Tribolium castaneum: one gene and its partner. The protein of the gene in region 1 interacts with the protein of each later gene in a pairwise test. Links are inferred from orthologs where the notes say so. Each region holds a gene or a part of one and is shown on either strand. Other genes may lie near its edges. The genes, in order: Lztr1 and Grip75.

What was found.
Region 2: the proteins of Lztr1 (region 1) and Grip75 interact in binary tests that used the Homo sapiens proteins (3 or more experiments, as listed by UniProt). The link is inferred for Tribolium castaneum from reciprocal best matches to the Homo sapiens genes LZTR1 and TUBGCP4.

What each region holds. Positions count from the first base shown.
Region 1 is NC_087402.1:10,247,019-10,251,337, reverse strand, and holds the end of Lztr1 (leucine-zipper-like transcriptional regulator 1), read right to left. Parts: intron 3,921-4,319; coding exon 2,756-3,920; intron 1,279-2,755; coding exon 856-1,278; 3' UTR 804-855; downstream 1-803. Other genes in the region: mRpL49 (large ribosomal subunit protein mL49), read left to right, coding at 220-291, 339-803. UniProt on the Homo sapiens protein: Substrate-specific adapter of a BCR (BTB-CUL3-RBX1) E3 ubiquitin-protein ligase complex that mediates ubiquitination of Ras (K-Ras/KRAS, N-Ras/NRAS and H-Ras/HRAS).
Region 2 is NC_087396.1:21,170,646-21,175,183, forward strand, and holds Grip75 (gamma-tubulin complex component 4), read left to right. Parts: upstream 1-1,518; 5' UTR 1,519-1,656; coding exon 1,657-1,704; intron 1,705-1,751; coding exon 1,752-2,167; intron 2,168-2,214; coding exon 2,215-2,380; intron 2,381-2,427; coding exon 2,428-2,724; intron 2,725-2,841; coding exon 2,842-3,073; intron 3,074-3,118; coding exon 3,119-3,299; intron 3,300-3,351; coding exon 3,352-3,559; intron 3,560-3,612; coding exon 3,613-3,681; intron 3,682-3,732; coding exon 3,733-4,005; 3' UTR 4,006-4,006; coding exon of another isoform or gene 4,007-4,044; 3' UTR 4,045-4,079; downstream 4,080-4,538. Other genes in the region: Su(var)2-10 (E3 SUMO-protein ligase PIAS2), read right to left, coding at 532-673, 725-894, 1,046-1,072; vesicle transport protein USE1, read right to left, coding at 4,007-4,044, 4,093-4,395, 4,442-4,538. UniProt on the Homo sapiens protein: Component of the gamma-tubulin ring complex (gTuRC) which mediates microtubule nucleation.

The DNA of each region.
Region 1 (4,319 bases):
TCAATGAACATCGTCACATTAACTGCATAAATTCAGACAATAATTACGAAAGCGCCTAAACACACTTGCACTCGTGCTGGTGTAATCCCCAACCACGTTTTTGCACAATAAATTTCAAAAAATATTTTACCGCGTCGGTACCTTGCGTCCTACATTACCGATACTTTGAGGTTATGTAATTTCGTAATTGTTTACTCGATTAGTGAATTATTATAAAAAATGGCATCGATTCGGACATATTTACAGCGAATTATCACAAAAACCTGCTTCATGCACCCGAGATTATACAACGTGAGTCTAGTTCATTTTTTCTTGAGCATACCTAACCTCACATTTAGTCGCCCCAAATCAGAAACTCCAGCTTCCACTCGAGTAAATTCCTCGTGGACGTCGAGGTTAACACGAAGTATGAAACGACTAAAAACCCCGAAGAATGGAAATACGTTGAGGGACTCCTCCCAGTGACTACAGTCCCAGAACCTAAGAAACTACCAATGTATGCTTCAGGCTGGAAGCCCCAAGGAGACGACCTCAAAGACCGGCCTTACTTCATTGCGAGAACTCGCAACCACATGATGCCCGTGTATTTGGAAATCCGTCAAAGGGGGACCGCTAGACACACTATTATTAAAAAGATTCAGGGCGATATTTGGCAGCTGGAGAAGGACTTGCGCCCCTTTTTGGAGGATTTACTCAAACCGAAGAATCTGCGACTGCAAGTCAACGAATTCGCGGGTAAAATTTGCATAAACGGCGACCACGTAAACGCAATAAAATACTGGTTAGGTGAAAGAAATTTTTAATTAAATAAATTGAGTACATTTGTTTTTTAATTTGGTGCTCAAAAAAATCACATTAAGTACAACCATCGGTGAAGCTCGCCGAGGATGACACGTCCTGGCATTTTGACTCGCTCAAATCATTCGCAAGAGCCATCAAAATATCCAAAATTAATTCTTTACTCAACATTCGTAATCGCGGCAATTTCGCCACTTTAGTAAAGTGGTGGACGATCAAATCAAGAGCGTATTTTTTCATGTCGGTGGCTTGCATACCGTCGGCGGCTTCCAATATCTGTATCACATTCTCAAACGAGACGTTCATTTCTAAATTCTGTTTGCAAAACGCCTGGAGCCTGTTGTTGGTAAAACTGTAGAATAAGGGGGCTGAGAAGAGGTACAGCGAGTCTTCGGGGGGCATGTTCACGTCCCCGCAGTAAACGAACCGGAGGAGGGAGTGGAATGATTGGAGCGACGGAATCATTTCGCCGATTTGAATCTAAAAATAAAAAAATATTGAGGACTAAAACTAGATCCAAAATCACTCAATTTGTTGAAAATATGGAGAATTAAATACTATGGCGCTGAACGAGGTACATAATAAATCGATTTTCAACGGACAAAAATTTTGTAAAAATGAGGCGTTTTAAACATTAAACGGTATCATGATTTGTTTGGAAAAATTCTTAATATGCTGACAAAAACTGGCGATGAAAATTTGCACAACAAACATGAAAATACAATTTTTAATCTGCCCTCCATTTCATACTTATCAAAAGGGTGCCAAAACGGTTAAAAATACACGAAAAATGTAAAAAAGGAACTTGTAGAGAATTAAATTTTCTATAAAATGGTCATGATTTCAATCATTTGCAATTTTATTGCACAACAACTTTAATAAATGCATCAAAATAGAATAAATAGAAAAACGATGTAAATTTAATGGATTTTTGTTTTTTATCGCTCAACTCAACTTCAACTCGCGTTTTTCCACTTCTATAGCGCATATTGCAGAAACTTTAAATTGCAAATACTTGGTAAGTGTTTACAGATTTCTTTTGAAAGGATTCTTGCACCAAAAAGTTATTTGAACTATTAGCTTCATTTCGTTGTGACATTTCGTAAGAATTTAGTTTTTATCTTATTTAAAGTATTTCTTATCGTGAATATTTCGCTACTCAAAGATGATTCGTTACAAGAAAACTGAAATTTCTCAGTTTTCTTTTATCAAGTCTAAAGCTTGTGTAATAGTATACGTTAGAATCTTCATTCACTGAGGAATCACTTGCAAAAAAAATAAGGTTCTAGCTTTATCCAAAAGGATGTAAACACAAAATTTTCTATTCTAAAGTCAATTAACGGTTATCTCTGTAAATGAAGATTTTATGCCTTCCAATTTTTATTTAGAAGTATTCTTGAAAAAATACTTTATTTGATCTTTTTTAACCCTCTAAATCCTCTAAATTTTGATTATTTGACTGGACTACACTATCTGTTTCAATCATTTGAAACAACGTAGATTTATCGAATATAAAGACTAATAATAAATTTATTTGGTACAAAGTCAATGACGGTGGTGTTCGAAGCTGAAAGCGATTTTAATCCATTAGCTGTTTCAAAATTATAGAAATGCCAACGTCGCATTTTCTTCAAAAGTTAGTTGTTTTCAATTATTCATGCACTGCAAAAAATTAATACCTACTGTAATTTGCAGTTTTATTGAGAGATCTAACCATTAATAACTATTTAAAACAATAATTCGGTAAAATGCAACGTTGGCATTTCTATAGTTTTGAAACAGCTAATAAACGGTTGAAGATAGAAATGTTTGAAATTTTTGTAATAAATTTAATTCTCTACAAATTCTTATTCCTTACACCTTTGACCGTATTCGCAACGTTTAACAAAAAAAACGTTTTTCGAGATAAAGATCTATCTGCCTGTATTTTTTTATTTACAAACCGTTAAATTCTTACCTTGACTTTACAATCTGTCGGCATAAAAGACCTGAAAAGCGCCTCAAAATAGCCACTTCTGGCGGCCAAAATGGGTTTATGTGCCGGAATGACGTTCCCATCTAAGACCAAATCTACGTCGTAAAATGAGGCCCCGTGTGTCTTCAAAAACATGGCCATGTCTTGTTCCAAAGTGGTCCCCGCTAACTCTCCCTGACTCTCACTCACACTTTTACTATTACTCGCCGTTTGTTTCAATCTTATTATCTCGATGATGAGTTTACTACTCAAAGATTCGAATTTTGTGGACATCACAATATCGTTGTAGTTTGATTCTTTGACGATGAAACGCAAACAGTGGTCTTTGATAACGTTCAGTTTTAAATTATGCGCAGTCTCAAGGGCTTCCAAAACATTGGCCATGTTAATAGAAGAGTTTAAATACTGGACGCACAAATTGTCCAGACGGACCATTCCGAACTCAACCGCCAATCGATAAACGTCCATCATTCGTAAAACTGTCTCGGTTGCTGCGCCCCCTTTTTTCGTGGGGTCTATACAATCCATGTAAATGTAATCCAAGACTAGTTCAAACGCTTCCGGATTCGCATCTGGAAACTCAATTTCGACCAAAGGAACCTCCTTAAAGGGAACATTAACCGTTCCGAATAATTTCTCCAAGTGACTATCACGTTTCGCTTTATTTTTTTTCAAAATCTGTCTTAAATGCGCCGACCTTGCGGCCACTATCGCCATGTGGCCAAAAATCTTCTTCGAGTCAGGCCCCACTAAAAACTGGACGTCGTAAAACTCATTCGTTGACAACAACTTCCCGAAGTCTTCGTGTAAAGTACATTTGGGGTAACAAGAGAATTGGAATCGGTACATTTCGCCACTGCGCACATTATTATCAATGGTGCCTCCAAAGACAAACATAGCGTCGTCCACAACGGCCGCAGCGTGAAAAAGTCTCCCCGAAGGAACAAAGGACTCAGCCGCTGGTAAAATCGTGGACCACGTCTGAGAGTCCAAATCGAAACAGTGGAGATCATTTGAAAGAGTGCTATCGGCAGCACCCCCAAAGACATACAAATGCCGGTCGAAAGCCACCATCGTGTGGCCGTAGCGCCGGGCAGGGGGCGGCGGGGCCCCCCTCAAAATATGGTCGGTGGTAATCCGAGTCCAGCTACAAGGTTATTTATTACCGGGGGTTGTAATGGGTATTTCAAAATTTACCGCCCGCAAAAAAAAATACCAAAAATACCAAGGCATTACGGTTTTTTATTTCGAGATGTTGTTTCTGTGTTGGCTAGTAATTGCCTTCACTGATATTGAGAAATTTATATAAATAATGTGAGCATATTTTGAGAATAAAACTTTGCTTTGTTTTTCAGTTGTGCGACTTTTTGTACAATTACTATACATTTTTTTTAACTCACAATTCAAATACTTTGTTTGCCACAAAATTAATCTCATATTCACATATTAACATTAGCATTAACACATATTAACATAAACGTATTTATTTAACTATATTTTACAAATCTAGCTCAGTTACATAACAAACATAAAACACATAAAAAAT
Region 2 (4,538 bases), on another chromosome or scaffold:
GCCATTAATAAAACAAATAATAACCTAAACACAATTACGAAACATTCCACGAATAAGAAAGTCAGAATAATTGCATTTTCTCAAGAAATTTACAATAAAAACTTGGATCAAATGACCATTCCTAGACAATTTTATCATTCATATCGCATTTATGGCTCAAATACCAAGAGCCTTGAGTCATGTTTACAAATTTTTTATTAAGAAAAAAAGGACCTTCTGAGCAACGATGGGATCAGAAAAGTATTGCCTGCTTAAAGTCGTAACAAAAAGGGCTACAGGCCTCAGAAATGGACTTCTGAACGACCCATTCATCATCTCCCATCTGAACATCAGAAGGATCGTCCATTTCTGAGCCCCTAACCTTGGTCTATGTTCATCGAACCCGTTTCAGGAGTGTGTCGAAACACTTGGCGCCACCTATTTCCCCAAAAAGCAATCACTTACCAGTGGAAAAATTGCTCAATGACAGAAAAAAATGTAGAAAATAATATTTTTTTACGTAAAAAAACTGCTTTAAGTTAAGACACGTACGGATAATTGCCGACTGTCGATGTTGTAGGGGTGCACTGTGGCGGTGGTTCTCGGCACCGTCCCTTGGGGCTGCGGCATATTGTGGTCTTTGCTTCCTGGTGATAATGACGGCGTTGGTACGTTGCTCAAGGAACCCCCTTGCCTGTGAAAAGCGGGTTAGAACCAAGGGGGCGACCGAACGCTGCCAACTCACTGTTGAATACTTTTGTACAAGTCTCTGATTTTCTGATGAATCGGATGCGATCGCACTCTAAGGAGCTCTAAAGCCCTCTGTTGAAGCTCGGTTTTTCTTCCTGACTTATTCCGTCCAGCAAAACCCAATAGCATCTGCAGTTCGGACACCCGAAACGTAATTAGCATATTCTTGAACAAAAACAAAGATCAATTAACGCGCTCAAGGGGGCCCTGGCAACTGAACAATGCAAGAAATTAACGCACGATAAGCTGAAACAATGTGCAACTATCGGCCAATTACACAAACACCAACATGGTTAGGTGGAAAGGGGGCGCTTACCCGCAACTCATCTATGTTTTCTGACATTTCCTGTGGCTGATCCAGTTTGAGATCTCCTCTAACGTCACTTCAACCATTTAAACAAATGAATAACACGGCTTTTTGTCAAACATCAAGTGAGCTAGCGTCCGATCGTCAATTCAAAGCCTACCCAATAGGGCGGTTTCAGGGGGTTAAAAGAACGCCCCACGCACTTCTGGCACACAGATTTGGGCTATTTTTCGTGGCGTCACTTCGAAATGCACGATTTTTGCCAAAATAACAAACCAACAAACGATTTCACATAAGGGACTGCGCGCTGCCAACACTACAGCGCGAAAGCGAAAAGCACCAACACAAAAGTTCAAATCTACGACAAGAGAAAACAATCGCAAATAATTTAGTTACTCCAACTGTTGTTAATTCAAATTGTTATCGTTTCGAAGCAACATTATCAAAACACATTGGACACTTTTGGAAATTTATAGAAAAAAAAATGTTTTGGGTGCCACCACACAAAACTAAATATTTCTAACAATGAAAAATTTGGTGGGCAGGTTGGCAGCAATTTGCTAATTCAAAAATTGATGTTTTGAGGTTAAATAATTTTATTGGTGGTAAAAAAGGCCATAATGATTCACGAGATACTGATTAACTTGTTGCACAATTCGGACGATTCGGTATTTGTGACCGCTTTGTGGAGCCCCCTTGCAATTGTTTGTTCCAGTTGGGCAAACTTGACGAACTCCAGGAGTTCCTGCACCCGGGGGAGAAGCAACTCCTCCACCACATCATGGAAATATCCTCAAACCACAACTGGATCGTCTCATTTTGCAAAAAAATCCAGAACTGTAGTGTTGACCAACACGGTCTCTACATCAAGGCTTTTGTGAACGGTGTGCTTGATGTTTTGGGGGATTACAAGAGCGAAATTGTCAGACTGGAAGATCAGTTCTTGCAAAACCCCGAGCTCCAGTTAATTTTCATTTCAAGTTGCTTGGAAAAGTACCAAGTATTGTTCAATGTGATTATGTCGATTATTCAAGTCGTGGAGAAGGACAGGCTCCATGGGTGCCTCCTTATGGGGCGGCTCCACAAATACATCTACTGTGGCGTGGAACCTATAACCCAAGCTGCGAAAAAGTGAAATCCCACCCTTGAAAAACCACTTAAATGCGGTTTTCTTACAGGATAACTCACTGCTTCAACAGCATTTTTTACCGCCACTTGTGCAACTGGATCATTTACGGCGACTTGGTCGACCTTTATAAAGAGTTTTTCATCAGCGATGGCGAATGCTGGGACGAGGATTTCCTCTACCCTGAGCAAAACGAAGAAAGCACACTGACACGAGTTGTACGTTGAATTTTTTCGCTAACCGTTTTTTTAACAATTTTTTGCAGAAACACCGAATCAAGCGCCCACCACCTGTCCGCAAATTCACAATAGTCTGGTCTATGGTTCCGATGTTTATCACTGAAGATACGGCCGAAAGCATACTTTTCATGGGCCGAATCGTATGGATCGTCAAAAACCACCAGAAAACCAACACAGATAATTACCAAAACCTACACAAGCCTGACGTTTGGGACGGCAAAGATATAGAGTATTACAAGAAAATTCAAGCGCTCGAGACGCAAATTTTCGACCAGATGGAGTTCCAGAGAGTTATAGAGGAGTGCAGAATCAAGTTAACCAAAGTAAGGATTTTTTTCCACGATTTTTGGTAATAAACTCAATTTTTGTGCCAAAAACAGGAAGATTTCGTTAAAAAAAATATAGCTTTCACTGTACTCGTAATAATGTAGAATTTCTAGTACTTGTGGTCCGTTATGGTGGACGAGGGCGACCTAAAGGAACACTTGCAACTTATACGAGATTACTATGCGCTGGGGCGAGGCGAACTTTTCCACCAATTCATCGAAGCGGCGGAAAATCAAACCACTTCGTACAACCTCAACGTGATTTTCCTGGAAACTGCGCGGAAAATCTACGGAGAGAACGACAAGACGTACCTCAGATTCGAATTAGCTAAACTGGAAAAGACAAGTGGGGGAAACACAATTAATGTCCCCAACTAATTGATTATTTCAGGCGTGAACCCGTGGTCGAAATTACAACTCAATTTCGAAATTAGTTGGCCCCTTCATATCATCTTCAACCCAAAATCGATGGAACTGTACAATCAATTATTCTGCTACTTGTTAAGGCTGAGCAGAACTCAGATCCACTTACACAAGTTGTGGCAAGCGCACATGTCCGGGAAACAAAACATGTGTGTATTAATTAAATAATCAATCGGTTATTGTTAATTTTTGCAAATTTAGTGACCGGCGAGTGTGGACTTTACGCCAGCATTTAATTTTCCTAGTCAATAATCTACAATATTACCTCCAAGTGGACGTGATCGAGGCGCAATTTTCGCTACTTTTGAAAGCGATCGAAAACGCCAACGAATTCGAGGAGATCATCAAAGTCCATCACGAGTTCATCAGCAATTTACTCGCGAAAACTTTCATCCTGACCCCTGATAAAGTAAGTCAAGTCGGTTTTGAAATTACTTTGGTTAGACTGAATTAATTTTGCAGAGCCACACTTATCAAAACAAACACCGGTTACACCAAACTCCCGCCGTTCAGTTTAACGTCCCGAGTGAAGTAATAATTGTTGATTAAGTGTTTAATTGAACAATTAATGGTTTGTTAAAGGTTTACAACGTGATAATCCAGCTGCTGGAGCTGTGTGACAATTTCTGCGTCATTGCGTCGACATGGCAACCGCAGTTAACCGAACCGGAAGTAACCGAGTTTGAACAGTTCCAGAAACGCACCGATACCATCGTCGATTCGCTTTTGTTTATTCTGTACAAGTTACATGAACGAGCCGATGGCCAACACTTGGTCCAGTTGTTGCACCAGCTCGACTTTAATCGCTTTTTCACTCGAAACAAACCCGAGTTTAACCTAACGCAAAGAACGTAATTTATTTTTTCTTCATCACTTTCATAAATAACACCATATCTGGAATAAATTAATTAGGAGGCAAAGTTATTTCATTCGGCGACTTACTAATAAAAACAACCACAACCACAAGTAACATGATCCACATCCAGCATTTCCAGGCCCGTTTCGAGTGCTCGGCCAATTTGTTCGATTCCGCGCTCAGTTTGGAATAGTTTTGGTCGGTTAGTTGCGCCGATCGCGACACAACTTCGGTGTCTTTTTTGATAATTTTATTGGCTAGTTCCGACTGTTCTTTCAAGTTTTTGGTCAAGATGAGCATATCGTCGGTGATTTTCTGTTGCATGTTTTCGTGGAAATTCAAAACTTGGTCTAAGTCGCTCGTTTCGGGGCCTTTGCGGTGCCTCACGCCTGCAAGCTTTACTAGTACCATGAACTGTTACAAGGGGCCACAGACCTAGGAGGCTCTCCCGGAGCAATTCGGTGTCGTTTTCAGGGGGGTATTTACTTGTAGTGATCCCCAAGTCGGCCTTAATGGCTGCGATACGGCGCTG